Linked DNA regions of Caenorhabditis elegans. The protein of the gene in region 3 interacts with the protein of the main gene of each other region in a pairwise test. Each region holds a gene or a part of one and is shown on either strand. Other genes may lie near its edges.

Region 1 (3,488 bases), on a different chromosome or scaffold from region 3:
CAGTTGCATCTTCTTTGAGCATTTTTCCCTATTTCAGAAAACTGTTGGCCAGGCTGTTCCGTGAAATCGTAATGAAACCATAAATTAAGCATTGATATCCATCCGAAATTGACCATATTGTAGCCAGACATGCGAATAACAATTAGAAACTATTTTTACATGCACAGAGCGTTAATAACCGAAAAGAATATAAAAAATAATTTTTTTTTTCTAACTTTCGAGTGTAATTGTTGACAATTTTTGTATCAGCGCGTTCAGTTTTTCATTAAAAATTCCCAAAATGATGCAACAAACAGTTTTTTTCCTGCTTAACATTTGATACCTAAAATGAAAACGTAAAAACACCGTTTCGAAGAGAAATTCAAGTCACAAAAAACCATCATTTTTTTCAGTGCAAAATAATTCATGAAAATAACAAAAATGCAAGTGCGCGCTAATGCAAATTTCCATCGGAGGAGACTGTGCCATTGACCAACTCAGTCAATTTCAATCTTCTAAAACGCATAAAGTTTTTTTATTATGTTTTTACTCCGGAAAATAAGACCAATGTTCAAATATTTGAGCAATATTGACTCCTTAATAAACCTGGTTGACGAATTTTTAAAGATGAGTAAAAGAAAAATACATATATTTTCACAGAGATATTTAGTTAGTACCAGCGAATCAAAGACTAAATCACAATAATATATTAGCGCTAAAACAGGAAAAAAATGATTATACTGAATCAGAAATCGCAGATCGATGAAGAGCCGTGGATTTTTTGAGGAGAGTCGCCAGCACAATCGGGTCCATTTCTTCCGGATTATAAGCCATTGCAGCTTCAATCTCATCGATCGTGTTGATTTTCGAGATACAAACGGTCTGAAAATCAAAATTTATTTTAGTTTTCAGGAATTTTCAAAAAATAAAATTTTACTTTTAAATTCTCCAGCTGATATTGGTTAGCCATTTTTAACAGCTCTCTCATCGATTTCATCGACTTTTCGATCAAAAACTCCTCGCATTTTCGAATTGCCAAGGTAACATCGAGCATGTGGGCAAGTAGAAGAACTCCATCGATGGTACCATCTGAAAATTTAATTATTTTAATTTAAAATCAATTCAATATCTAACCATCAATCGCAGGTTCTCCATATAGAACCTCCAAAAGGCTCTGAAAATCGGTCGGATCGATGTTTTGGAGTGTAACCTCTGATTGATCGGCTTCTTTGAATTTTCCAAGAAAAAGTGCATTGAAATATGAAGAATGAGACGCCAGGAACTGAAAAATATTGAATATTGAATGGAAAATTCGATTGTAAAAAAAACCTACTAGTTTCAAAACATAAAACTTCTCGTCTCCAACTACAAGGATCACATCGGAAAATCTTTTTTCTGATTCATCGAAGCTTCTGAGCACATCTTTCGAGAATCCTGTCATTTTTGTGATCTTCACACATGCTTCAATAGTAAAACTATTATCGTATAGAAAATCTTCTGTCAATGAGTCCCAACTGACAAAATCATTCCATCCCAGTCCAAATCCATCGAAACATCCCTTTTGGAATTTCATTGCATAACTTCCTGATGATGAAGCTATTTTTAAGCTGAATTCGGCGTCGACTGTCCAGGCGACGTTGTCATCTTTCTCATTGTCACAGTGTAGGTACGCTTCCAGTTGATCTTTCGTGCGAATAACCAATATAAACCTGAAACTAAAGATATTTTATGTAATCTATGACTTGGATAAGACTTACCATTCCGCATTGTAATGAATTTCTTCGGGGCTTTTAAAAAAATCGCCATCTTCCAATTGTGAAACATCCTTGAAAGTGTGATGAAACACGAATTCCTTGCTTGCGGCGACCATTTTGAAGAGTTTGCTGAAATTAAACATTTTTAAAACTCAAAAAGTCGAAAAAATCAAATAATTTTTAAATTAAAAGTCATTTGTCCGCTAGAAAAACGATAACTTTGCAAAGTTTGACGAAAAAAAAAAGATTACAAAAAATCTAATGTGCGTAAATTAGAATGCATTATGTTCATTGCGTACTCTCTCATCTACCGTAGTTCGCTGACTATTTGTTCGAAATGCAGCATTTATACTATTTACCATCGATAGATCCTTCTAAAACGCATAAAGTATTTAATTATGTTTCTACTTCGGAAAATAATGCCAATGTTCAAATATTTGAGCAATATTGACTCCTTAATAAAAAAAGGAGTCAATATTGCTCAAATATTTGAACTTGCAAAAGTATATACAAATATTTGAACTTGCAAAAGAATAAACCTGGTTGACGAATTTTTAAAGATGAGTAACAAAAAATACATTTATTTTCACAGAGATATTTAGTTAGTACCAGTGAATCAATGACTAAATTTTAAAAAAATTAAAAAAGCTAATCAACTTTCCGAGAAATTGGACATCTCAAACCTGCAGTTTCTTTGCGAGGTACTGTAGAAAAGATATTTTCAGGTTTATATAATTATTTCTAAAGTTTCAAGTGTTACTAAGGTATTATTTGGAGGCAATCAATGAAGCTTTACTACCAATCATCCAGTACATATTCACACTTTGTGGCCCAGTTTTACAGATTCTTATGTTCATTAGAAATCGACGATATAATTTTTTAGTGTGACGTAACTCAGTTCACTTTTTTATAACTACATGGTATATCAACAATCTTCTTTTGCATCTGGCACAGTGAAATATGTGTCGTTTCACAAATGTCCTTCAATTTGTGAGGTCCTCTGTGAAACATAATGACAGATCAATTTCATCTCCAAAAATCAAAGCAAACAGATATGTTACTGTAGAAAAATTTTCAAGAAAAAAAAATCAAAAAATAGGCTAGCAGTGTGTAAAAAACAATTTTCGAGACAAAGGTTGAGATCATCAAATCCCAAAGAAGCAAAGGAAGAAATTGAGAAATAATCAATAAAAACAAAGACCCGTCGAAAGGGCGTGGAATCCTTTCAGGTCGTTTAAAAGCAATATATCACCGATGAAGAATGCAAAAAATCAAAGGAAAATGACAAAAATGGGAGCAAAACAATGAAAAGCGACCGGAAACGAGGTAAAAAGAAATTCAAATTAGATTCTGACCAAAAAAAGTGAAAATCAAGAAGAATGTTGTTCATTTTGCTCATCTTGATTTGATTCTTCATCTGATTCATTGCTTCCACCTTCTCCTTTTGCCTCTTTTTTGTGTTTCATACGACGATTTTGGAACCAGATTTTTACCTGCAAAAAGTTAATTGTATCTATTAAATACTTATTTATTAAAACAAAACAGATTATTCACGTGGTGTCAGGCTGTCTCATTGCGGTTTGATCTACGAAAAATGCGGGAATATTTTCCCAGAAAAATTGTGACGTCAGCACAGTCTTAACCATGCGAAATCAGATCAGATGTCTGCGTCACTTCTCCCGCATTTTTTCGAAGATCAAAGCAAAATGGGACTTTTTGACTCCACGTGATTATTCTACTTTGCTTTTTTGTTAT
Region 2 (4,183 bases), on a different chromosome or scaffold from region 3:
GAGATGTGAAGAGGAGATGCCGACGGACGAAAAAACAACATTCGAGTGGACACTCCCTCACGGAAAACTACTATTATCATTTCGAGGTCAATCGCTAATTGTGAACACTTTCCCCCGTTTTTTCTAGAAAAAGGGAGAGGGAGAAATAATATTGCAAATAATGAACTGGCAAGTAGGAGAGGTTTTTAGTTTTCTTAAATTTTAATTTTTAATTTAAATAAATTTTAATCATTTTAATCATTTTAACCATTTTAATAACTTTAATCATTTTAATAAATATACATAAATTTAAATTCAATTTTTTAAACATTTTTTGCACATTTTTTTTCGATTATTTATTGTCATATTTACTTAGTTTTTATAACTTTAAAAATTGATATCTGACTTCAAATAAATTTTTTTCAAAATTTTTCTTCGGGGAATTGTTGCAAATTTTATGCTCTTTCTGAATTTAATAACAAAATTTCAGTAACTGCCTTAAGTTTTCAGTTGAATCAGATTTCAGGCATGTTTTTGCACATTTTTTAAAAACATGTACAACAATATTTATTTTTACAAAATAAATAAATATACAAAAATCTAGAATTTATCGAGTTTCCGTTGATTTCAATGCAGCTCTTCGTGCTCCACGAGTTCCATAGGAATTTCGTTGAAAAACGATTTAGTGCCACGTCTTCTTTTCTCGGCGTCTTTCAACAGTTTTTGCATGCACTCTTCCACTAGATTACAGTCCATTGGACCCTGAATTAAGAAAATTTTTGGCTTAAAAAATATACCTGCCTTCATTGCCTATTTCCTGATGCATTTGAAAGGCTTACCTTTATTCTTGCGGTGATTTTCTTGGCGCGAAGGAAGAAGCTCCATGAGCAATCCTCGTTGAACTCCGGCTCGGTTACTAAAAATTTTGAAATATAGGTGTCTTGAAGATAGCTAAATATTCATTTTTTGACCGATTTCCGCGGTTTGCTCAAACTATTTTTATGGGTTTTTCTATATTTTCAGATTGTTGTGCTCAAAATTCTGAAAAGTACTACAGTTTTTAAAAATAGTTTTTCGATAAAATTCCGCAGCAACATGCAAATTTAAAAAACTCAACTCACTTAAGATAAAAGCCACGTGTTTGTGGTATTCCTCAGACAATTCTCGAAACTTTGTCTCGCTGAAATAATAGCTTTGATTTCCACTCGTGGCAATGTATACCGGCAATCTCAACACCACAATTGGCTGAAAAACATGCAAAATAGGCACGTAGGTAGGCAGGCAAATGGGCAAACCTTTTCGGTTGCAAAAATGATCTTTCTGGCTTCTAACACTGTTGAAACCAGATGATAATAGGGATTGAGTGACTGTTCCAATCGTTCCCCGCATAGCTCAATCAGTGGGTCTAATAGAAAATAACTGGCTTCTGCAAGAACTTCTCGAACTTCACGATCGGAATCCGGTAGGGCTATTTGACCGTCTCGGAGGAAATTCAAAATTAGTCGGAAATGTTTGGAATCTCGATCTATGAATACACTTCCTTCCTCGTTTTTTGTCACCTGCAAATGGGATCATCTATAGATAAACTCGGTTCTGTAATCCACTTGGAAAATAATTTGAAAATTTCGAAATTGATTTGAAAATTAATGTTTTTCCTCGAAATTGAAAAAATTGTTTTAACAAAAATTCATATGAAATGTGTATTTTCTGTAAAATTCTGCGTTTTTTCAAACATGGTGCATTGATTCCGAAAATGAAAATTTTGCACACATGATATTTTTCCCGAACAAGTTTGGGTTTTTTTGTTGTTTTCATAGTTTCGTAAACAATTTTCTTTTTAAAAAATGTGCTCGGAATATTTTTTTTTAATTTAGAAATTCTGTAAAAACTGGAAAAAACGATAAAGTGTATTCTATTTATTTTCCTCAAAATAAACGTTTTTTAATCAAGTTCATCCTACAAAAAATTGTAAACCTTATCTGAAAAAAAAACAATTTAAAAAATTTACCGGCACATCCGTACAAAACATAGTTTTAAGCATTGAATCATGCTTGCACAATGTGAAAATTGTCGTCTTGAAAATTTTGCCGCCAACATCCAATTTTACAATAGTCGAGGGCTCCATGACAGTACGAATTTTGGAAAATATTTTATTAATTTTTTTTTCGGTCAAAAATGGTGATAATTGATAAGAAGCTGTATGTTTATTTTTCAGTGATAAGAGAAAAGAGGTGACAGAGAAAAAGTGAAATAAGTATGCATAGATTGGAATGTTTCAAGTATTCACAGAAAATGTTTTGAAAAAGTTTTCAGGGTCCCGCCACGAAACTGTCACGTCGTCTCTCGCATGCCCAAATCAAACTCTTCGTCGGTTATTTCTGGATTTTCGGCTTCTTCTGGGGTGTCGAAGTTCGCCAGAAGATTGTCAACTTTCGCTCGAAGTTCTCCAATTGTTGGTCGCTGGTTGGGATCGACGATTAGGATGGATTTGATGAGATTTATCGATTTTTCGCTGATGTGTCGGCTGGAAATTGGGGTTTTAAGAATTTTTGCCGAGAGTTTTAAAGATTACTCTAAAAAAATAAAATTTTCGCGAATTGATTAGAAAATGCCAACAATTTGAAAACAAATTTTCTGGATTTTTTGAAACTCAGAAGTTCAAAATTGAATACACTCCCACGCACTTTTTCTCGTTTTCCGTCTTCATTAACATTACAAAAACCTCGTGACTGTCCAGTTAGAGCATTATGGGAAAAACGTGACAATTTACATGTCAAAGTTTACAAATTACAATTTAATCTCAAACAAAGATAAGGCAACGCGTGGGCTAATTATCACTGTTTTTGCAACACAAAAAATTTGAAATTATCATCAGAATTAAGAAAAAATTTCGAAAAGTTGGACGGTAATTCAAAAATCTCACTTCTCATTCCACTTGATCATATGCGGACTTTGTGTCGCCAGTGCAATACTGCCACCTTGTTCGTAAATCTTGTTGAACGGGTTCTCCAGGTACAGGAACTCGTAGAGGCACACGCCGAGAGCCTGGAAATGATTTACATTATCGCATAATAAAAATTATAGAAAAATAAGAATTCCGCCTGCCTGCGTGCCTACGTGCCTACGTGCCTACGTGCCTACGTGCCTACGTGCCTACGTGCCTACGTGCCTACGTGCCTACGTGCCTACGTGCCTACGTGCCTACGTGCCTACGTGCCTACGTGCCTACGTGCCTACGTGCCTATGTGCCTACGTGCCTACGTGCCTACGTGCCTACGTGCCTACGTGCCTACCTGCCTACGTGCCTACGTGCCTATGTGCCTACGTGCCTACATGCCTGCCGTACCTACGTTTAGCCTGATTGTCTTTTAAAATTCTTCTTTAGCCTGCCTGCCTATGAACCGTCTACATGACTTATGCCTACCTACCTCAAGCCAGCCCGCCAACGGCATGCCTGTCTGCTTATTAACATTCTACGTGCCTACCTACCTATCTTAGGCCTGCCTACCTACATGTCTACCTTCTCACGTGCCTACCGCTTGCCTGTCTTACCAACTGCCTATAATACTTCAAAAAAGCTCACCCAAACATCGACAGCAGTCGTCAGAGTTGAGCCAATTTCACAGTTAAAAAGCTCCGGAGCCCTATACATCATACTACACAACTCCTCGGCATCCTCCTTATGCCTGTGATGATCTGCAGAAGTTTTGATTTCGATCGGCATTTTTGTAGCTGATCCGAAATCAATCATCTTTATAGTGTCGCCGGATTTCAGAATATTGGCGGGCTTAATGTCCAAATGAGCAAATTCAAAGCCATGCAGTTGCTCGATAGCTGACACAATTCCGGAAAAATATTTCAGGTGCTGGAAAAATATATAATTTTTCATTGGAAAAATCAATAAATTTCCAATTTCTTACAACCTCACCTTAAGCTCATCAACCTCTCCGCCAATCTTCAACTCTTCAATATATTCCAAAAAGTTTTGCGAGTACTTATCAAATAGGAGATAATGGGTGATATCATCCACAATATGGGCCATAAGATCGATTACAAATTCATTGTTTTCCAGCTTTTTGTACAAATCGATCTGAAAAAAGTCGATAAATTTTAGGTGTAAATCTGTGAACCCAATATTTTTTAATTGATAATTTTGTAAAAATCTATAATTTCCTGAAAAATCTATAATATTCTGTAAAGGAGG
Region 3 (7,653 bases):
GACACAAGCGCTACAGTAGCAATTTTTAAAAAAATTACTGTAGTTTTCGCTACGAGATATTTTGCGCGTCAAATTTGCTGCGCAATACGCATTCTCAGAATTTTGCGTTACCGTAATATACACGGTGAAGAACACGAGCCACCAGGAGTACGGTAGCCCTGACTTTAATTGCAAAAAAAGAGAAAACAGTGAAAAAAATCTGTATATAATTGCTATTATTTTTAAATTTCGCAAAAAAAATTAGAAATGACCACATTAATTTTGAATTCCTGCGCGAATGAATTCTATTTTTTGCGTATTCCTGCAATATTTATTGGATTTTCTCTTAGCCTAAAGCCTAAAACGCAGAAATTTCGAAATAATAAATTGACCATTTTTGAATTATTGGTGCAAAATTGAGAAAAATTGTGAAAAATTATACCATTTTTTGAACAATTACGCTCAGCTTACTAATTGTAAGATTACTCAGATTTATGGCAAAACACGATTTTTACGCCTTCAAAAAATCCTAGCTTTTGGCAAAACTTACAGGAAATTAAAAAATTCAGAATAAAAAGTAATAAGATCCAGGAAGCCATGACTCGAATCATTGTAGTTGAACTGTATGAATGATTTGATCCCAGCTTCTTCCGCCACCCTAAACACCCCATAATTTCCGTTTTCCGCTTGAATAGGAAATGTTGTATATTTCTGTACTCCTTCCTGAAGTATTAAAACTCGTTTTCGTTTATTAAACTGTTTCTTTTTTCAGATCACTCAACTTCCTCTTCTCAACGTCAACTTCGACTCGGCTAATTATAATTTTATTTATTTTTCTGATTTTTTTAAAATTCTTGTTTTTTCTCAAATTTCCAATTTCAACATCATCTTATTTTCAAATAAAAATATTTATTTTGCGACTTTCTATTAATTTGAAACAGCGAATATTGTTAATTTATTAAGTAAATTTAATCATTTTAGATCGTTTTCAACCGATTTTCGAGGGCTTTCCACAAATTTTGTACTTTTAAATAAATTTAAAGTTTATTCTACCGAAAACACTATTTATTTTTCCACGTGGACACCGCCAATTTTCTCTGAAAATTCTAAAATTCTGGTTGAAAATTAATTTTTAAAGCTTCCTCACGAGAAAAGCGCCAACGCACGAGGAGCGCGCCAGCAAACCCGCATTGACGCAGTCTCGGTGCACTTCTGAACTCCAAAACACACTGTTCCCGTTCGATTTTTCTCGCATTTTTCATAGTTTTTTTCGAAATTGAAGCTTTTAAAGGTGTTTTAGACTTGATTCGAAGTGAAATATTGATTGATTGAGCCGGAAAATAGGCAAAAAGTTCTGGAAAAACGCGCGAAATTAAAATTCCAGTGACTTTCGAGATAATGATATTGATTTTTCCGAGTAATTAAGTTGATATCCAGCTATTTATTTTTGCGTGACATTCTAATTACCGGATTTTCAAAGTTTTTTCGAAAAAAAAACAAAGCAAAATCGATTTATTTCGAATTACTCGCGACTTCTCAACTTTGAAGCTGAAAATAGTTAGTTTTGTTTTTTCTGTTATCAGTGCGCGCTTTTTCTGCAATAATAACATTCCGCAGTACGATTTTTTCAAATTTTTTGCTTTTCGAGAACGGAAAATCAAGTTTATTTCAGTGTGCACGAAAAACGAGCGAGATTCTGACTTGACCAGTTCGTTCGGAATCGACTCATTTTTGGAGATGAGCGGACGCTCCGGTAATGGTGGACAACAAAAAATGAGAATTCGCCCATTTATGGTAGGTTTACACACACAGATTTTAGTCCTCTATCAAGCCTGTCTCCTTGTTTTGCGTGAAAAATCGATTTTTTTAAAACGAAACTTGGAATGTTACGGCCGAATTATCCGCGATATCCGAACAATCCGTCAATTTCTGATGAGAAACTGATATTTTTCCACTGGCAACTGTATGCCACGTGGCAATCATTTTCAGTTTGCGTGCCACGTGCCAAAACTCGTCATTTCTAAAGAACAAAAGCAAAATATTTTTTTTTCATATAACAAAATCGATTCTGAGGGATTTCTAATGGTCAATAATTGTTTTTGACCGTTTAACCAGGAAAAAACGAAGAGAAAAACTGTAAAATCGTATTTCCGCCGTTTTTTATCGATTTTCTATTTTTTTTCCTATTTGCTTGGACTAGCCATTAGAAACATGAAATTTGTTATAAACGGCAATGTTCTCGCAAAAATGACCTCACATAAGAGTTTTTCGCGTTTTTTTCACGAAAAAAAAACGCATTTTTGATCGAAATTTACCGAATTTCATCCCAAAAAAGTTCCAAAATTTTTGCCAAATTTTGCTAAAATCTGATATTTCGTAAACTTTTCTAGCTGGAAAATCCCTGAGTTTAGCAAATTTTGGCGCTTTTCCGAAAATTTTGAATTCTTATAATGAAATTTTGGAAATTTTTTAATAGTCGGGCCAGTTTTTGGTCATTTAAGGAAAATGCCCAAAATTTAGAAAAGCCGCAAAAAAAAAACGGAGAAAAATGATTTTTTTTCAGGCCACAATAGACGAGCAATATGTGACACAGACATGGGAACTTTTGAAGCGTGCCATACAGGAAATCCAACGCAAAAACAATTCGGGCTTGAGTTTCGAGGAGCTCTACCGCAACGCATATACAATGGTGCTCCACAAGCACGGAGAACGTCTCTATAATGGCCTGAAAGACGTGATTCAGGATCATATGGCGTCGGTTCGAATTCGAATTATCGAATCAATGAATTCTGGAAGCTTCCTGGAGACTGTCGCCGAATCGTGGGCTGATCACACTGTCGCCATGGTCATGATTCGTGATATTCTGATGTATATGGATCGGATCTACGTGGCACAGAATAATCACGTCCTGCCGGTCTATAATCTGGGTCTCGACGCGTATCGGACGGAAATTCTGCGGCAAAACGGGATTGGCGACCGAATTCGCGATGCTCTTCTGGAGCTTATCAAATTGGATCGAAAATCGAATCAAATCAATTGGCACGGAATAAAAAACGCGTGTGATATGCTCATCTCGCTAGGAATCGATAGCCGGACGGTTTATGAGGACGAATTTGAGAGGCCACTTCTGAAGGAGACTAGTGATTACTATCGGGATGTGTGCAAGAATTGGCTTTCTGGCGACAATGACGCGTGCTTCTATCTGGCACAGGTGGAGATTGCGATGCACGACGAGGCGAGCCGAGCGTCGAGATATCTTGACAAAATGACAGAGGCCAAAATCCTGCAGGTGATGGATGATGTGATGGTTGCTGAGCATATTCAGACGATTGTCTACATGCAGAATGGTGGTGTGAAGTTTATGTTGGAGCACAAGAAGATTGAGGATTTGACTCGCATTTTCCGTATTTTCAAACGTATCGGAGATTCGGTGACAGTACCGGGTGGTGGATTGAAGGCGCTGCTTAAGGCGGTTAGCGAGTGAGTTTTTCGCGCGATTTTTTTTTAGAAATTGAATTATTTGGTGATTACAGCCGTGGGAGGAACGTTGTAAAATTAAAATTTGAACAATTTTCACCACAAAAAGGCACTAGCATGGTTATCTGTCGATTTACGAAGCCTGTGTACTCTTCGAGGGGAAATTTTGTTTTTTTACCCCAGAAATTACGGGTTTTTGCTTTAATGCGGAGATTTCAATGATTTTATTTTGTAAAAAATTGAAAATTTCACCCAAAATGGCTCCATGTGTCGGTTTAACCAGCTTTTGTGCTCCTCGAAAATTTATGTATTTGATGGTTAAATCTAGACTTTACTTTGGCACTTTTTTTGAAGAGGATTTTACAGTGTTTAGCTAAAATGCTTAATCGTTCAAATTATTTCTAATTTTAATGGTAAAACACCACCAATGCAAGCATTTCAGCCAGAAACCGTAAAAAATAATCCACGTGGAGTACACGAGTCGCGTAAATCTACACATGGCCGTGTTAGTAGAGGTTTCGCGGCCACGTTTTCGCTTCAAGAAATTTAAATTCCAGCCAATTTACTGTATTTTTATTTATCAAACTCTACTTTTCTGACCTAAACCCGTGTCACTCGCCCGCAGCAATCTGTTTATTTGTTCTGTTGTCCATTACGTCGAACACCGCCGCTTCTCCTTAAAACGCCTCAGCTGTTGGTGGTTTTAGTTTTTAGATAACACCAACCCTAACAGTTGAACACGGAGCATTCAGAAAACTAGAGCAGAATTGGGGGTTGCTCAGCAAGAAAAGTTAACTTTTTTTTCCAGATATCTCAACGAAACCGGCTCGAACATTGTGAAAAATGAGGATCTGCTCAAAAACCCCGTCAATTTTGTCAACGAATTGCTCCAGCTCAAAGACTACTTCTCCAGTCTGCTCACCACTGCGTTTGCCGACGATCGTGACTTTAAGAATCGCTTCCAGCATGATTTCGAGACGTTCCTCAACTCGAATCGCCAATCGCCGGAATTTGTGGCCCTCTACATGGACGATATGCTGCGAAGCGGTCTGAAATGTGTGTCGGACGCCGAAATGGACAATAAGCTCGACAATGTGATGATCTTGTTCCGCTATCTACAGGAGAAGGATGTATTCGAGAAGTATTTCAAGCAATACCTCGCCAAACGTCTCTTGCTCGACAAATCGTGCTCCGACGATGTGGAGAAGGCTCTGCTGGCAAAGCTGAAGACAGAGTGTGGTTGCCAGTTTACTCAGAAGCTTGAGAATATGTTCAGAGACAAGGAGCTTTGGCTGACACTGGCCACAAGCTTCAGAGACTGGCGAGAGGCTCAGCCGACCAAAATGAGCATTGACATATCGCTTAGAGTTTTGACGGCGGGCGTTTGGCCGACGGTTCAGTGTAATCCGGTTGTGTTGCCGCAAGAGTTGTCGGTTGCCTATGAGGTAATTCGAATTTTCAATTGGTTTTGCAATTTTTGAGCTTGATGTTTCACAAAACCCGCAAAAATGTCTGCTTACACGCAGGGTTGTCGTTTTTTGCCAAAAGATGGATTTTTTATACAGAAAAATGTGCATTTTAGAGACAATATATATTTTTTTCGGTTTTTCCAATCAAAAAACAACAAGTATGTTTTTTTTTCAAAATTTAATTTCCAGTCGCGATGAGATGAATTCAAAAAAAAAACGTTTCTTCTAGTTTTTCTGACCAAATACCTAGAAATCCATTTTTCTGCCAGAAAAGCCAAAAAAGATTCCGAATATCTATTATTTTTGCTTGAAATCGCTTTTCACACGCGCACCAGAGACATTCTCATTGGACCGCCACACTTGTGTCGATTTACGAGATTTCTCATGAAATTTTCAGGCCAATTTCAATTTTTCAATAAGTATGTTTCATTTTTGTGGAAAAACTGAAATCTCCGTAAATCGACACAACACGGTGCGCTCCAATGAGAATATCTCTGGCGCGAGTTTAAAAATATTATTGGGTGCGATTAAACGTGCTTTCAAGCTAAAATATAAAACCAGGGCAATTTTTAAAAAAATATTTTTTCACAAAGATTTTTGGAATTTCTTCAATTTCCCCTCGTTTTTCAGATGTTCACACAATACTACACTGAAAAGCACACTGGCCGTAAGCTGACAATCAACACACTTCTCGGAAACGCTGACGTCAAAGCCACATTCTATCCACCACCAAAAGCATCCATGTCAAACGAGGAAAATGGTCCTGGACCGTCGAGCAGTGGAGAGTCGATGAAAGAACGAAAACCGGAGCACAAGATTCTCCAGGTCAATACGCATCAGATGATCATTCTCCTTCAGTTCAACCATCACAATCGGATCTCATGTCAGCAGCTGATGGATGAGCTTAAGATTCCCGAGCGAGAGTTGAAGAGGAATTTGCAGTCGCTGGCTCTCGGAAAAGCGTCGCAGCGGATTTTGGTCAGAAAGAATAAGGGAAAAGATGCGATAGGTATGAAAAGGAAATTATAGTTTTTCGAATTTTTTTGAAAAAAATTGATAATTTGAAAAAAAAATCAATTTCCAATCGCTGCAGCCAACTTTCCCATGGGACATGGGAAAGTTGGCAAAGTTGGGTTTTTTTTGCTAACTAGGGAATGGTGTTACCCCTGCAATCGCTAGGAGGACAAACAAAGTGAAAATGGAAGATCAGATCTATGGCTACAAGAATCAGTTTTTGGAATCTGCTTAACTCGGTCCCAAAGCTGAAATTTTCGGTCTTAAAAAGTAGTCCTTTTTTTGCTCAAAATGCCGTTTTTCGTGTGTAGAAGTGGCTACATAAAAGTTTGGCACTGCAGCCGCCGTTCGAATGGCCGATTGGTGAACTCTTGTGCTCATTAATCTAAAGGTCACGGGTTCGTTCCCCACTAGGTATTAATTTTTTTTTGAATTTTTCCTCTAGCATGAAATATGCACAAAAACACGGTTTCTTCCGTTTTTTGGTAACTTCGGAATAAATTTTTTGGTTCCTGGGAATCATAAAAGTAATTTGGAAACTTTTTGGAAGTTTTCTTTTTTTGATAAATTTTCACTTTTCTCCCACCTGATGTATGCACATTTTTTTCTTCAAAAATAATTTTTCAAAATTTTTTCAAAAAGTGTTTGGTTTGAAAGAGCAGCATTAGTTTGGATATTTCTACGATTTTGGAGGATCAAATGTCATTTTTAGGAGAAAACCACTGTTGTTTTCTCTAGACTTTTTCACGAAAAGGACCTACTTTCAAAGACTTCCAGCTCCGTTGACGAGTAAAATAAAAAAGAGTTGTCAACTGCAAAGTTATTTCAAAAGTACCAATGAACAAATTGTCAGTTGAAGTTACTCTGCTAAATTTTATGGGTAGAGAGATATAGCTAATCGAAGTGAAGCTTTAACTTACTTAATTACTAATGTCCATATCTCTCTACCCATAAAATTTAGCAGAGTAACTTCAACTGACAATTTGTTTATTGGTACTTTTAAAATAACTTTGCAGTTGACAACTCTTTTTTATTTTACTCGTCAACGGAGCTGGAAGTCTTTGAAAGTAGGTCCTTTTCGTGAAAAAGTCTAGAGAAAACAACAGTGGTTTTCTCCTAAAAATGACATTTGATCCTCCAAAATCGTAGAAATATCCAAACTAATGCTGCTCTTTCAAACCAAACACTTTTTGAAAAAATTTTGAAAAATTATTTTTGAAGAAAAAAATGTGCATACATCAGGTGGGAGAAAAGTGAAAATTTATCAAAAAAAGAAAACTTCCAAAAAGTTTCCAAATTACTTTTATGATTCCCAGGAACCAAAAAATTTATTCCGAAGTTACCAAAAAACGGAAGAAACCGTGTTTTTGTGCATATTTCATGCTAGAGGAAAAATTCAAAAAAAAATTAATACCTAGTGGGGAACGAACCCGTGACCTTTAGATTAATGAGCACAAGAGTTCACCAATCGGCCATTCGAACGGCGGCTGCAGTGCCAAACTTTTATGTAGCCACTTCTACACACGAAAAACGGCATTTTGAGCAAAAAAAGGACTACTTTTTAAGACCGAAAATTTCAGCTTTGGGACCGAGTTAAGCAGATTCCAAAAACTGATTCTTGTAGCCATAGATCTGATCTTCCATTTTCACTTTGTTTTGTCCTCCTAGCGATTGCAGGGGTAACACCATTCCCTAGTAAAATTTGCCTTTTTCA

Evidence for each region. The genes of interacting proteins can lie anywhere in the genome.
Region 1: the proteins of cul-3 (region 3) and bath-15 interact in a two-hybrid assay, tested with the Caenorhabditis elegans proteins (one large-scale study listed by BioGRID).
Region 2: the proteins of cul-3 (region 3) and agns-1 interact in a two-hybrid assay, tested with the Caenorhabditis elegans proteins (one large-scale study listed by BioGRID).

The regions. Positions count from the first base shown.
Region 1 is NC_003281.10:7,774,166-7,777,653, forward strand, and holds bath-15 (BTB domain-containing protein), read right to left. Parts: upstream 1,869-3,488; 5' UTR 1,850-1,868; coding exon 1,737-1,849; intron 1,695-1,736; coding exon 1,313-1,694; intron 1,262-1,312; coding exon 1,114-1,261; intron 1,069-1,113; coding exon 917-1,068; intron 862-916; coding exon 715-861; 3' UTR 512-714; downstream 1-511. Other genes in the region: Homeobox protein mab-5, read right to left, coding at 3,104-3,226. UniProt on the Caenorhabditis elegans protein: Probable substrate-specific adapter of an E3 ubiquitin-protein ligase complex which mediates the ubiquitination and subsequent proteasomal degradation of target proteins.
Region 2 is NC_003281.10:10,480,272-10,484,454, reverse strand, and holds agns-1 (BTB domain-containing protein), read right to left. Parts: upstream 2,168-4,183; 5' UTR 2,105-2,167; coding exon 1,988-2,104; intron 1,539-1,987; coding exon 1,275-1,538; intron 1,225-1,274; coding exon 1,101-1,224; intron 896-1,100; coding exon 819-895; intron 742-818; coding exon 607-741; 3' UTR 512-606; downstream 1-511. Other genes in the region: D2045.7 (non-specific serine/threonine protein kinase), read right to left, coding at 2,311-2,503, 2,903-3,024, 3,563-3,844, 3,908-4,069.
Region 3 is NC_003283.11:175,928-183,580, forward strand, and holds the start of cul-3 (Cullin-3), read left to right. Parts: upstream 1-1,651; 5' UTR 1,652-1,716; coding exon 1,717-1,773; intron 1,774-2,542; coding exon 2,543-3,459; intron 3,460-4,264; coding exon 4,265-4,901; intron 4,902-5,555; coding exon 5,556-5,934; intron 5,935-7,653. UniProt on the Caenorhabditis elegans protein: Probable core component of multiple cullin-RING-based BCB (BTB-CUL3-BTB) E3 ubiquitin-protein ligase complexes which mediate the ubiquitination and subsequent proteasomal degradation of target proteins.